Linked DNA regions of Macaca fascicularis. The protein of the gene in region 3 interacts with the protein of the main gene of each other region in a pairwise test. Links are inferred from orthologs where the notes say so. Each region holds a gene or a part of one and is shown on either strand. Other genes may lie near its edges. The genes, in order: PLN, VTI1B and LDLRAD1.

Region 1 (4,656 bases), on a different chromosome or scaffold from region 3:
ATGTTCGTATATTTCTGGTTTTGAAAATGATCAGTAGAATATAATTTAGGCTATTAAGAATGTAATGCCTGATGTACAAATTGAATTTAAGTGAAATGGAATGGTTTTAAATTAAAATAGAAGTTTGTATTCTCTGAATTTGCCTTTTAGAGTATCATTTACAGTGTTTGGGGGCTTTCAAATTTGGTTTATCAGTGTCACAATTTACTTCAAGCCATGCTGGTCAATATATAGAGGATGTGCATGTGGCTTAGTGACAAAACCTAAACTTCTGCTAAGGTTTCCCTGTTTTCTTAGTTATGTGATCTTGAGCAGTTCACCTTTTTGCATCGTTCCTAAATTGTAGAATAGGGATGCAGTATCAAATATATAATTAAGAGGACCAAATAAAATATTTGTGTACACCAGTACATTAGGAAATTGTTCTTTAAGAAGAAGTTTTAATTGGCCCCCCTCATTTCTGGGATTGGTAATATATTGTCTAATTTAGAGAGGTAACTAGACTTTAAAATTTGTTTTTAAATTAAAAATTTAATATATTACATAATTTAGTATTACATGTGTAATTAGTACATTAAAACATTAAAATACATTAAAATTTTCTGAAACCATTGTGTTTATGCAATATTTTCTTATTGTTTCTTAATCTCGCTAATTAAAGATATGATTATATACCCAAATGCGATTATTTTCCTTTATGCCTACTAAAATACAAATAAAATAGATTTGATATTTGATTTTGGGAAATGATAGTGCTGTCACGCCTTTTAGTAAAGCATGTACTCTGACTCTTTCATGTGTTTATAAAACTTAACACTTCTTAATTTAAACATTTTATATTTTTCCCATTTATTTCATCTAACACTTTTTTAAGCACTTATTTTTAAACCACATGTCTTCATAAACAAAGACAATACTTAACTGGCAACTTAAGGTATAGATGAACTATTTGGGACATAATGTATGGTACTACCACATTATGTTTGAAATTTTAACGGTCTCTGTAACTGGAATTTCTGTTAACTGAGACATACTAGTGAGCTAAGGGTAACTTTAATAGAATTTCTGCTCTATCCAGAGGTTGTGTACTTTTTAGAGCAATATGTGATAAAGCGAAATTCTGATACAATAAAATAACTCATGAACACCCAATTTGAAGTGTGAGAATGTAATTTGATATTTGAATAAAAATGCACAAATAAGCATATAAGACACCTACACTGAATGACTTTTGTGTAATAGCAAAGGAAAATTATGAGTATAGAGATATGGAGATGCAATTAGGATACCTCAATGGTAGACAAAAATTATGTTTTTGTATGTCTTAAGGAAAACCGCTTACAGAATTACAAAGTTCGTATTTGTAGTGAGCAAGAGAGTTAACATTTGTCATGGGAATTGAGAATTTTAGAGGTAAATTTTAACATATATATAAAATATGAAAGTTAAAATAAATAAAATATATGTAATTTTCTGTAAGCCCTGACAGAGATCTGAGAATGAGGAAACGTTTCATTTACTAAATTGAGGATTGTAACTTAAAGAATAGGGTAGAATTCAAACGGAAGTCATAAAATTGATTGTGGCATCTCCATTCCTGGCATTTATTTTATTTTCTCCTGTCTTTCTAAATCTCAGAGAGGAAATGGAGTAACACTGGAGGATAATAACTTGACAAAATTATAGGCATTAATAGGCAGAAATCCATTTAATCAAATTTGTGTGAAAATAAGATACTTAAGAATATTCATGTGTCAAAATAACTTTTTAAAGTGTCTATTCTCTAACAGATTTTTGTGTGTTTGTGAAAAGTGTTTTAAAATTTCTAAACTTCTTTATGATACAATATTGAATTTAATATCAGTAACTCAATTTATTAACAGCATGGAATTTTTAGAAATGTTTCTTAAAAGGTGACTGGACTTTAGAGGGGAAACATCCTCAAGGGCACTTTAAAAGTAGCTTGTATTATATATTCTTAAGCTCCATTTCATTATTATTCACTGTATGAAATTATGATGATATTGCAGTAGGCATGCTGATAATATGCATGTTTGTAGTCAAATGACTATTCATATTAGTTCAAATGTAAATAACTCAGTTCTGCACTGTTTCTCAGCAGAGCAATAAATAACAAAATTAAGTCATTGTTTTTGTGTGGAGAAATTAAACCACTGCTGCCAAATATGGTAACATAATTGGAAGATTTTTTTAATTGGCAGAAATTCACATTTGAAAAGCAAAATAAAAGTGAAAGTTAAATTAAAATGACAAACAAATAACCAGGATCAAAGATGAATATGACCTTTTTCATTTCAAAGTTGTCTCATTTTTACTGTCACTAAATGGATAAGCATTTATAAATTTAAGCACTTTGTCATGTCATTTTATTGCTTAAGTTTGAACTGATATTAATAAAAGTAACTTATCTTAAAAGTTCAGATTATAGAAATTATAGGAATTAAAGAATTACAGAAAGTAAGAATTACCAAAGTCAGTGAAATCTGTTTCTTACCTTGGCTGCTGTGATCATCACAATATAGAGTATTGTGTTGTATGAAGTCTTATGGGTATTTAGCTGGGGAGTTTTCTGACTCTGTCACCCGGTTTATGGGAACAGTTGCAGTAGGTGGAGGAGAAAAAGTGTTCTAGGGAGGTCTTATGATGTCACATAGGAATTCTGAAGTTTCGATTGGTTAGCCATAGTCTTAGTCTCAGCACAACCAAACTTTAGAACTTCTTACTTTAGGTATGGAAAAGTCATTAACACTTTGTGCTTCATCTTTTGTTTCTAATTTAAAACAGTATATGGCAGATAAATGAAAAAACAAAGTAAATTTGAGGTGGTAGAAAGCTTTTGTTAAAGATTCATGCATCTTCAGGCTTAGAGATAATTGAATATTAATGGTGAAGATGTTGAAGAGCCAAAATAGTTACTACAGGAATTTTAATTATGAGAAAAATAAACACAAGTATAAGCAAAACAACTTTCATTGAATTCTTGCTGCTGTTGCTTTAATACCACGTCTTCATAATGTTAGCTTTCAACAAGACAATAGTGAAATATTTTTACACAATCAAATTTTATACCTATTTTCTTATTTTGTTGTGTGTATGGAAGAAGGAGTGTGTATGAGGAAATCAGGCTAGTAACTGCTTTTTGTTTTAAAAAATGATTTTTATCTTACAGTTAAAGAACTAATAAATGTATTTAATTCATTTGTGTTTTCTTCAATTAGCAGTTTAACAATATATTTGTGAATGGTAATTCTTATATTTAAACTGATACATATAATCCCCCCCAAAATAACAATATGCTACTTTTAAGTATTTAAGATTTTTTTAAACAGTTGCATTAAATTGTTACACAATCTTAATAAATTTTTTATAAACAGATGCAGTATTAAGGGCAACTTTATAGCAAAAAAGAAATAATTACAGATTCCAAATCAGTTACATATCAGTTAATGAGGCTTTATAGGTTTGATGTGTTGAAATTTAAGTTTTGTAATGTTTTTAAAAGGATGTGCCTCATTTAATCTAGCAGGTGCTTTCCTGAAAATTACTATACAAATGAGATACTAGTAAGTGAGGATATTTTGAACTTCCTAGAACAGTTTATCTTACAGTAGAAATGGGGAAATAATTTTTTTGTAAAGCCGGGCATCATTCTCCTCTGTTTATCTAATTTGTTGTCTTACATGTCAGATTTACTTAAGTCACCACACTTGAAAATATTAATTCTTAAATCTCTTCTTTAATTTTAGAGGAGGTACTTGTAATCTTTAATTTTTTAAATGCTTATGACAGAGTGAACTTAGCCCACTTCACTTTCTTATGGGTAACTAAAATGTGTAGCAGCAGCTGCTTATGTGCCCTTAAATGGAGATGATCTTGGCTTCTTCCAAAGAAAGAAAATCCATCTCTAGAGCAAATCATTTGTTATTTAAAGAATCAGCTTAAAACTAAGTGAAAAATAATATTTTAGCAAAGATACTCTGTGAACATTGCCAAGGGAAAATTTACAACTTAAAAGTAAAACCCAAGTTAAGGAAATCGCATGAATAATGTTTGTTACTTTTCTTAGTGCTACAACCATTTTTCTTTCAATCCTTACATAATGAGGATCTCTCAGTACCATCAGTTACCAATGATGATTGATAATATAAAACCTAGAAACCTAAAGAGGTTTACAGTAATTTGTCAGAGATAACCAACCGCTAAAGAACAGACTGAGGATTCAAATGCAGATCTGTCTGTTTATAATTCCTAATCTATTGGCATATTGTGGGAAAAAATTATAATTTGAATATAGCTTTCATTAGAGTAGCCTATAGTAACTAAGAAATTTTTGAGATGAAAATAGGTGCATTCTTGAGCACTGTTAATAGTTTTAGAAAGTCTGCTTTATGTTTGTCTACCAGTTATACATTCATTTGAAATTTAGGTGATAGATCATTGTTCTAAGAACTTCTCATTCTAAGAAAATGGAATTAGTAATACTTAGTTGGATAAACCAAGAAGCTGCCATAGATTGAATAAAATATGCCCTAGTTACCACGAGTTTACAAGTTTACTTAAAAAATATACATAGGCATATATACACCTTAGAAGGATACTAACAACTGTGTGTGACATAGTTGGAAAATGGATTCA
Region 2 (4,398 bases), on a different chromosome or scaffold from region 3:
AACAGAAGGTAACTGGAGTCCAAATAAAATAACTAACATATGGCTGAATCTTCTCTTGATCAAGTACAAGATACTGGGTCAGTCTGCTGGGAGACAAAAGATGTGTTAGATGTGGAACCTGCCTCCAGAGCTCAGGCCTGCAGGGATGAGAATGAGGCTTGCAGTAATAACTACATTTCAGGGCATATGGTGTGGTGCTCTAACAGATGAAGATAATACATTAGAGTTCAAAAGTGGGAATGGAGTTTAGCTAGTCAAAGTGGGAGATTTCCTCTGCCTTCATACTTGATTCATTTCCAGGCAGGCATCTGGAAGGTTCCTAGTCATACTGGAGATGGCATACATTTTGCCAACAAGCAGGATGAAAACCTCCCCCACCCAACACCAAGCCTTTTCCTTTTCCAGAAGGCCTGACAATTATGCCTATTATGTTAGTTGAACAAAGATGGTTTATTTCGTTATCTTAAAGGTTTCTTTTAATCTACTGTAGCATAACAGTGTTTTAACTTAAATTCACGGCCAAGAGGATGAGGTGCAAGGGGCTTCCTGAAAATAGGTATTTTCTACTACAAAACGGACTCTTGTTTTTACCTTGGCTTGTTCTCCCTGTCCCAGTGGGATGACCCTCACTGAGAGTAGCAGCAAGGGAATTTGAGGTTTTGTCACACTTTGTTCCTCCAGGGTTGCTGTCAGCACTGGATCTTGTTGAAGTCAATCCTCAGTTGGCCACCTCAGAGGAAGAGGCGAAGACTACAGCTAACCTGGCAGTGGATGTGATTGCTTCAAGTTTTGGTCAGACAAGAGAAGGAGGGCATATTGTCTATGGCCAACTTCCTACTCCCAGTTCACCAGATGAATCAGAAAATCAAGCACGTGTGAGAATTTAGGATATACTGTGCACTGACATGTTTCACAACGGGCATTCCAGAATTATGAGGCATTGAGGGGACAGACAGATACAAAATGGTTGTCTGGGTCAATACTGCCTTAATGAGAACATTTACACATTCTCACAATTGTAAAGTTTCCCCTCTATTTTGGTGACCAATACTACTGTAAATGTATTTGGCTTTTTGCAGTTCACAGGGTATTAATATGCTACAGTACTATGTAAATTTAAAGAAATCATAAACAGCATTTATTACCTTGGTATATCATACTGGTCTTGTTGCTGTTCCTTCACATTTAAGTGGTTTTCCATCTTTCCTCCCTCCTCCCACAGTTTGGCTACACAGTGCATCCCTGAACTGTTAGCCCACAGCAGCAATATGCTTATTCCATCCACATCCCTAACATCATGCATTCACAAGGTCAAAGTTCTGGTCCACAAACCCTTCCCTATAGAAGTTCAATGGCTGCGAAAGAATTTGTAGTAAACCAGGCCTCCCAGGATGGCGAGCTCCAGTAAGATGATAATGGAAAGCAGCAGCTTGTTGGTTGTCACTCTACAAAGAGAAGCAAAGTGGAGAGTAGTCAGAAGTTTGGATAACCTTCCTTCTAAACATTTTGGGGTTAGACCTGGAACCACAGCTGGATACTCTGAGGCTGTTTGTTTGATCACACAGCCACTTACCAGGAAATACTCATAAGGTTCTTTAGCTGTCATTTAGGGATAATACTGTCTACCTCACAGAAATGTTAAACTGAGACAATAAAAACCAAAGCATAAAAATGGATTCTGAAATGTGTTCAAATGGTAGTTACTTCCTTTAAAAATAGCTTTTCTAGAAAGAGGGGTTAGCTAGAAAAAGTAATCATATATACATCCAGCTCAGGATGGGTCCAGCCCTAGGATAAGTAACTAGAAGCCTGGGTAATACCTTTCAATCCCTTGGAAACTTCTTCCCTCTGCCCTGTTTTTCCCTTTGCTCTCCTATCAACCCAAATGGATATGTTATAAAGGTAGTATAGGAGCTTAAAAATTTTACTATATCAACCCAAATGGATATGTTATAAAGGTACTATAGGAGCTTAAAAATTTTACTATCTGTTGTTTACACAAAGAATCCAACCTCTAGTTCTCATGTTCACTCTAGGTTTCTCCCTGTTCCACAAGGAATTTATCACTGTAGGAAAATCCCACCCCTCCTGCTAGTTCCATGAGTGGGTTGTAGTTTTGTTTCATGCTAGGCCACCTGTGTCCAAGGTCACGTACAATACCCTCTTACCCCCAACTTCAACCTCAGTGGCAATATTTCTGCCCTGGATTTGTCTGTTAGCACTCAACGATTTTGGTTTTTATTTTTGATAAAGACTACTTTATTGGTGGCAATTAGTACAATTCAAAGTTTGATCCTCAAAGAAGGACTTAGTTATTTATCAGACTAGGAGTCCATAGAGAGCTGAATGAAACTGAATCAAGTCACTGCTGTGATGACTGAAGATAATCCTGTTTCTTGGGAAATGAAACCACAGTCAGCTGATGCATGGCATATGCTGTTTCACTAATTGAGAACCACGGTGGCTCTATACAGGAGGTCATCAGCTCCACCACCCTTTAGATGCACTGGAATTCTGTTCTTCTCCTGAAACAGCTTGTGTTTTCTAGACCTTTATTTTCAAAATGCCTGCGTGAAGCAACGCTCATGGTCCTCTGGGCAACCTGACAGTGCCAGCAGATTCTGCAGCATCTTGGCTCAGTTACTGCCCACCAACCCTGACAACTCCCCAAGGATTTTATTTTTAAAAGTCTACTTCTTCCCTACAAGACAGAACTTCCAGAAAAGGAGCTGACTCCCATGAAGGGCAAGCAGAGCCAAAAGCAAGTACTATGCAGGTGAAAACTGCTTTCTAATCAAGATTTTACAAATATATTTCTTTTTTTTTTTTTCTTTTTTTGAGACGGAGTCTCGCTTTGTCCCCCAGGCTGGAGTGCAGGGGTGCCATCTTGGCTCACTGCAACCTCCGCCTCCTGGGTTCAAGCAATTCTCTGTCTCAGCCTCCTGAGTAGCTGGGATTACAGGTGCCCGTCCCCATGCCCAGCTAATTTTTTTGTATTTTTAATAGAGACGGGTTTCACCATCTTGGCCAGGCTGGTCTTGAACTCCTGACCTTGTGATCTGCCCGCTTCGGCCTCCCAAGGTTCTGGGATTACAGGTGTGAACCACCGTGCCCGGCCGAGATTATACAAATATATTTCAAGGAATAGGAAGCTGTTATTCCCATGTGTTGCCTTCTCTAAAGAACATTAGCTGTGATTAAATATCTTTTCAGTGGAGAAATTTTTCACTGCTCCAAGTCAAAGCAGTATATACTTTTAACAAATGATTTTATCCTGAGCTATTTAATGATCCAAGACCATATTCCTTAGTGTATTTATTCTGTTCTGTTGGGTGGTACTGAGTATATGGGGACTATCGTCAGCTGCTGAGGTGCTTTATTAGGACCTTCGTAAGTCACTATTTTAAGCTTTTTGGTTGAAAGCCATTGAGTTAAGAGAAATTTCATGACTTTAATAAAACTTACTTTCTGGACATTGAACGGAGAATCTTTCGACTTTTGCTCAAGTTTTCACTTGTGTTTACCAGCTGAGAAGAGAAAATAGTGATTATTTCCCTCTTTAAAAAGTATACTCTGTACAACTGAATATCCCTAGATTAACACTAGGCATTAAGGAATATATGTTGAAAAATTCCAAGAAATCAAGCCAATTTAAATGATGGCCTTCGAGTGTAAGTAGAACCTGGAAAGGACAAGATATTTTAGTACTCATCAAGTAGGCTTAGGAATCGTCTTCCTAGGTTGCTACTGGGGATGGACTCCTGAGACTGAGCTAATCTTCTACCGTGGGTACTCCAAAAGGGAAGGCTTCAAGTGTAGCCAGCAGACTGGACAGCCAGTGACCTAGAGCAACTAAAGATTTGAATTTCATCAGCCAAATTCCAGGACAGCCTCTTGAGTTGGCATTTGTTTTTGTAGGCTGGCCTGTTACTACTTTTGGGATCTGGTTATCTTTTTTCTTTACCCTCTTAAGAGACAGTTGCATTGAATTGTGAAAAGAACCTCCATGTAACTTTCAACTGCCTGCTACTAATCTGGACAGCTGGAGGATATTTCACCTCCAGCAGATGGCTACCTGCCATCTGTTCCCATTCCCCAGTGGCCTTGGTAAGCTGACCTCTCAGCTCATTCCGTGGCTTTTATTTCTTTGAAACAGGGTCTCGCTCCGTCACTCAGGCTGGAGTGCAGTGCTGCAATCGCAGCTCACTACAGCCTTGACTTCCCAGGCTCAAGCAATACCCCCACCTGTCCCCAAGTAAGGTGGGATCACAGGTGCATGCCACCATACCCTGCTACTTTTTTTTATTTTTAGTAGAGATGAGATCTCACTATGTTGCCCAGGCTGGTTTCAAACTCCTAGGCTCAAGCCATCCTCCCACCTCAGCCTCCCAAAGTGCT
Region 3 (4,656 bases):
GTGCCGCGCCTTATTCTAAGTGCTATGGAGATAGCAGTGACAGGGGACCTCCCTACTCTTGTAGAACTGCACTTTAATTCTCCTTTAATTCTCTCCTGCTTACAAAATAATAAAAGAAGGCTTTACTGAGGACCTCCTGGGTACCCTGCTGTGCAGCTTGCCCTGGTCCTTGTCCTCTGCAGCTTGTTATTGCACTTAGAAGGCAAGGCATGGACATGTCTGAAGGAGCATGGGAGCTACTGACCTGCCACAGGTACCTCAGAGAAAGGGGCAGGAGCAGGTGTGATTCATCCCTGTGACCCCAGAACCCAGCCTAGAGCCAGGCATGTGGTGGGGGCTTTTGTTTTTTGCATTTTTTTGAGATGGAGTCTCGCTCTATTGCCCAGGCTGAAGTGCAGTTGCATGATCTCGACTCACTGCAACCTCTGCCTCCCGGGTTCAAGCGATTCTCCTGCCTCAGCCTCCCGAGTAACTGGGATGACAGGTGCCCACCACCATGCCTAGCTAATTTTTGTATTTTTAGTAGAGACGGGGTTTCACCATGTTGTCCAGGCTGGTCTTGAACTCCTGACCTCAGGTGATCCGCCTGCCTTGGCCTCCCAAAGTGCTGGGATTATAGGTGTGAACCACCGTGCCGGGCCTGGGGCTTTGTGAACACTGTGAATACGCTGACCCAGGGGCCCGGGAGACAAGGGAAGGCCCCCAGTATGGGTCAGTCCAGGTTATTTCCAATCCATTCACATTCCCAATGCAGTGTCCTCAGAAGCAGAGTGGGATTTCCACAGGCAGAAGAGGAGGGTGCAAAGAGAGGGCATTCCAGGCAGAGGGCGTGGCAGGAATAAAGGCCTGGTGGTTGCAGGTGGCCTGGGGCGGTGGGACTCCAGGATGGAAGTGCATTGGGAGGGGAGACAATAGCAGGAGAGGCAGCATAAATCTAAAACCTGTCATCTCTACAGCCCTAGCTGGTGGCTCTTTGGCCATCAGCAACCTGGGTAAACTCAGGTAACCAGGGAGGCAGCGTGACTCCGGGCAGGGAGAGGTGTCCTGATCAGCCAAGCAGCTCCTCAAATATTTGTGCAGCACAGACCATGCGCAAGGTGGGGCAACGGGAGAACCCGCGGAACCAAGGCCCCTGCCCAGGTGAAGCTGTTGCACTTCAAAGCCAGAAAGCCCTTAGGTGCCAGTCCCCTTCCTGGACCGATGAGGAGAAGGAGGCGATTCTTTCCACAACCGCGCCCATCATGAGTCAGGACTTGGAAATAAACAGACACCAGCTTGGAGCAACAGAAGCCCTGGGGCTTTGTAACCAGAGACACCTCAGTTCACATTTGAACCCTGCCCTCCAACCTCCCGGCTGTGTGACCTTGGCCTGGTTACCCAACTTCTTTTCGTTTCAGCTGCCTCATCTGTTATTGCCCCATAACAGGGTCCCTGTCTCAGAGCTGTGCTGAGGATTAAAGGGATCGTGCAGCACCAGGCACATAACTGGGGTGGGATTCTTCACAGCTGGTATTTTAATCTGCCTCTCTCAGTGTGTTTCCTCATTGATCAAATGTGGGCCAAGCCAAGGCATATACAAAGCTCAGTACATGTGTATTTCTTCCTTCTTCTGTTTTCAGAAGGGTGAAGAGAACTGTCCTGGTCACACTGTGGGCCAGTGGTACATAATAGGGCTAAATAAATGTGTCACTTTATCCCTCAGAGGTAAAGAGAATTGCCCAGGTCACCCAGTGAGTCAGGAATTTGGTGCTGGTTCTTTTCCCTGTGTTAGAGGAGAGCACTGTATGCAGTTTGATGCCTGTGAGGTAGGCAGCACACAGTAGGTGCTTAATACATGCATGTGCGTGGAGAGAATGAATAACCCTATTAAGCAAGTGACTGTCAGCATGGCCGGCCAGGAAGCTGGGAGCAGACATTAACCTGGAAGCAGAGGTCTGAAGGAAAGCGGGAGCCTCGAAGCCTCCTCATGCCTCTATAGCCAACTGCCAGCTTCAGAGGAGCCCCACAGGGCACTGGTCCCGGGCCCTCCGGTTCTTTACCTTCCCCTCCAGGGTGGGCTTTGGGTCCAGCAGCAGCGTAGTCATTCTCTCCCTGCCCAAGAGAACAGAGTGAGGGGTGGGCTTAGGTGAGGTGAGCTCCAGCCTCAGGGAGGCAGACAACAGGGTTTTCAGAGGGGTCACTGAGAGAGTCTTAGGTGGAACCATGGGTCCCTCACACCCCAGCATGCTTACACCCCAGATGCTTCATGCCCGCTTCCTATCTCCACACCTTTGCCTGTGCTGTGCCCTCTGCCTGGAATGCCTTTTTCTCTGCTGTCCCCCTGACAAACATTCATCCTTCAAACCGGCTTGGGCAGCAACTCCTGGGTGAGGCTTTCCCTGATACCCTCCTCCCCAGTAAAGCTGGCCGCTCTCCCCTCCCCTCCACCCGGCTCCTCTGTTTCCATACCAGCACTTGCCACCTGGACTGTATAGCTGTGTCACTGGTAGGGTCCCCTACACCCTGGGAGTGAGCCCCGGGGCAGGCCGGGGGCTGATTTTCCTCCGTGTCTCCCATGTATGCCCACTCTGTACTGCCCACTCTTCATCCCAAGCTTTGCTCTCCCAAGACCAGGAGCCTGGTCAGGGCAACTCTTTCCTGGGGACAGCTCTCACCTGGGGACAGCTCTTACCTGGGGACAGCTCTCACCTGGGGACAGCTCTCACCTGGGGACAGCTCTTACCTGGGGACAGCTCTCACCTGGGGACAGCTCTCACCTGGGGACAGCTCTCACCTGGGGAAGACCTTGTTCATGTCTTCAGCTTCCAGCTCCCTGGCCAGGGCTATGTGCAGAGAGCTCAGCACGGGTTCCCTGCCTTGTCCCCAGGGCCAATCCGGAGGAGGGACAGGTGGGAGGCCTTGTCCAGGCCACAGCCTCCCTATGGGCAGTCCCCTGCCACCTGCCTTCCAAGCAGAGGCAAGGAAAGGAGCGCCCCGCTCCAGCCAGGCTATTCCCTCATCTGCCATCTGACAGCAACATTGAGAGGCTGGAATCTTCATCCCTGTTCCACAGATGAAGAGTCAGAAGTTCAGAGAGGGAGAAACAGCCCCAAGTCTCACAGCACATGGGAGGAGTGAAACCCAGAAACTTTTCAGGAAGTGCATTGTCCTCCACATCAGTGATGGAACCGGAGGAGCTCAGGTTCCAGGGGTATGAAGATGCAGGCAGAAACTCCCAGAATTAATGTTTCTGTGGCTAGAAAGTAGGGGTCATTTTCTCATTGATGTTCTTCTGTTCAACTACATAGGTAACCTAGATTGAAAGAATATGCATTTTCCACTAAAATTATAAAGCAAAAGTAATTTTAAATTATTTCACTTAGAAACGTGGCAATGTGAATTTTTACTGTCCCTGAGGTGGTGCCCGAGGTAGGGAAGAGGTGGGAGGTTGGTTGCTTGCCTGAACAACCCCTTCTATGCCCCCAGGGAGTGGGTTTCCCTAGTAGCCTGTCCCACTGCTGAGCAAACCAAGGCCCTGGAATCTTGAGGAACAGGTCCAAGGACCCGGTCCAAGGGAGGAGAGGTGTCTACCTCCAGAAATGAGCTCAGGAGTTCTTGCACCTGCCTCTGATGCCCATAGATTTTCCAACCTGCAATCAGCCTTTTCTTTTGCATTGGAAAATAAAATGATGAATCCACGTGGGGCCAAGTGGGAGGCGCAGACACAGGGGCAGCCCTTGGGAGGCAGGAAGTAACACTCTGAAGAGCTGAGCCCTCGGCCAGGAGAACGGGACTCTCATTAGGGCCCTACCACTGGCTCTGACGGGCTGCTCACTCCCCTTCCCTGTGCCTCAGTTCCTTCATCTAGAAAATAAGGATGTAAACTAGATGAAGGGGGTGTTTTAGTTTAAGGTTACCCAGAATCAGACTGTAAGACAAGATGTGAGGGCAAGTAGATTTAACTGGGAGTGATCCCAGGAAATGCTGGTTGTGGGATGAGGGAAATGAGACAGGGAAGAGAAGGATCCAATAACAGGCGTGTTATGAAGCAGGTTCCCGCTGTGGGCAAGTGGAATTTAGCCCTGCTGGGGCACTCGGGGAAGCCAGGGGAGAAGATGCACCTCAGAGTTATCCCACTCAAGGTCGGGGGAACTGGGGTATTAATCTGCCAGCTTCTGCCAGTCCTGGTTGAGAACGGCCAGAGGAGGCCAGGCATGATGGCTCATCCCAGCACTTTGGGAGGCAGAGGCGGGTGGATCACCTGAGGTCAGGAGTTCAAGACCAGCCTGGTCAACATGGTAAAACCCTGTCTCTACTAAAAATATTAAAAATTAGCTGGGCATGGTGGTGGACACCTGTCATCCCAGCTACTCGGGAGGCTGAGGGAGGAGAATCGCTTGAACCTGGGAGGTGGAGGTTGCAGTGAGCCAAGATTTCGCCATTGCACTCCAGCCTGGGCAACAAGAGCGAAACTTCGTCTCAAAAACAAAAAAAGAGACTAGCCAGAGGGTGTTCATTCCTTGCACCTCTGGGCTGCCTTAGGAAAGGAGATGCCAGTGTTGGCAACTTGGCAACTGCATGCTAGGCTAATATGTCCTGAAATGGAAAGGGTTGATAGCATGGGCAGGGCACCCATGGTCCCTGCTAAAGACACTAACTAGATTTTATATGGCATGC

Evidence for each region.
Region 1: the proteins of LDLRAD1 (region 3) and PLN interact in binary tests that used the Homo sapiens proteins (3 or more experiments, as listed by UniProt). The link is inferred for Macaca fascicularis from reciprocal best matches to the Homo sapiens genes LDLRAD1 and PLN.
Region 2: the proteins of LDLRAD1 (region 3) and VTI1B interact in binary tests that used the Homo sapiens proteins (3 or more experiments, as listed by UniProt). The two-hybrid records come from large-scale screens. The link is inferred for Macaca fascicularis from reciprocal best matches to the Homo sapiens genes LDLRAD1 and VTI1B.

What each region holds. Positions count from the first base shown.
Region 1 is NC_088378.1:22,484,173-22,488,828, reverse strand, and holds the start of PLN (phospholamban), read right to left. Parts: upstream 2,613-4,656; 5' UTR 2,516-2,612; intron 1-2,515. UniProt on the Homo sapiens protein: Reversibly inhibits the activity of ATP2A2/SERCA2 in cardiac sarcoplasmic reticulum by decreasing the apparent affinity of the ATPase for Ca(2+).
Region 2 is NC_088381.1:135,555,393-135,559,790, forward strand, and holds the end of VTI1B (vesicle transport through interaction with t-SNAREs homolog 1B), read right to left. Parts: intron 3,528-4,398; coding exon 3,466-3,527; intron 1,673-3,465; exon of another isoform or gene 1,446-1,672; coding exon 1,349-1,445; coding exon of another isoform or gene 1,296-1,348; 3' UTR 1,116-1,295; downstream 1-1,115. Other genes in the region: ARG2 (arginase-2, mitochondrial), read left to right, coding at 682-887. UniProt on the Homo sapiens protein: V-SNARE that mediates vesicle transport pathways through interactions with t-SNAREs on the target membrane. These interactions are proposed to mediate aspects of the specificity of vesicle trafficking and to promote fusion of the lipid bilayers.
Region 3 is NC_088375.1:180,659,124-180,663,779, reverse strand, and holds the start of LDLRAD1 (low-density lipoprotein receptor class A domain-containing protein 1), read right to left. Parts: upstream 2,807-4,656; 5' UTR 2,774-2,806; intron 2,092-2,773; 5' UTR 1-2,091.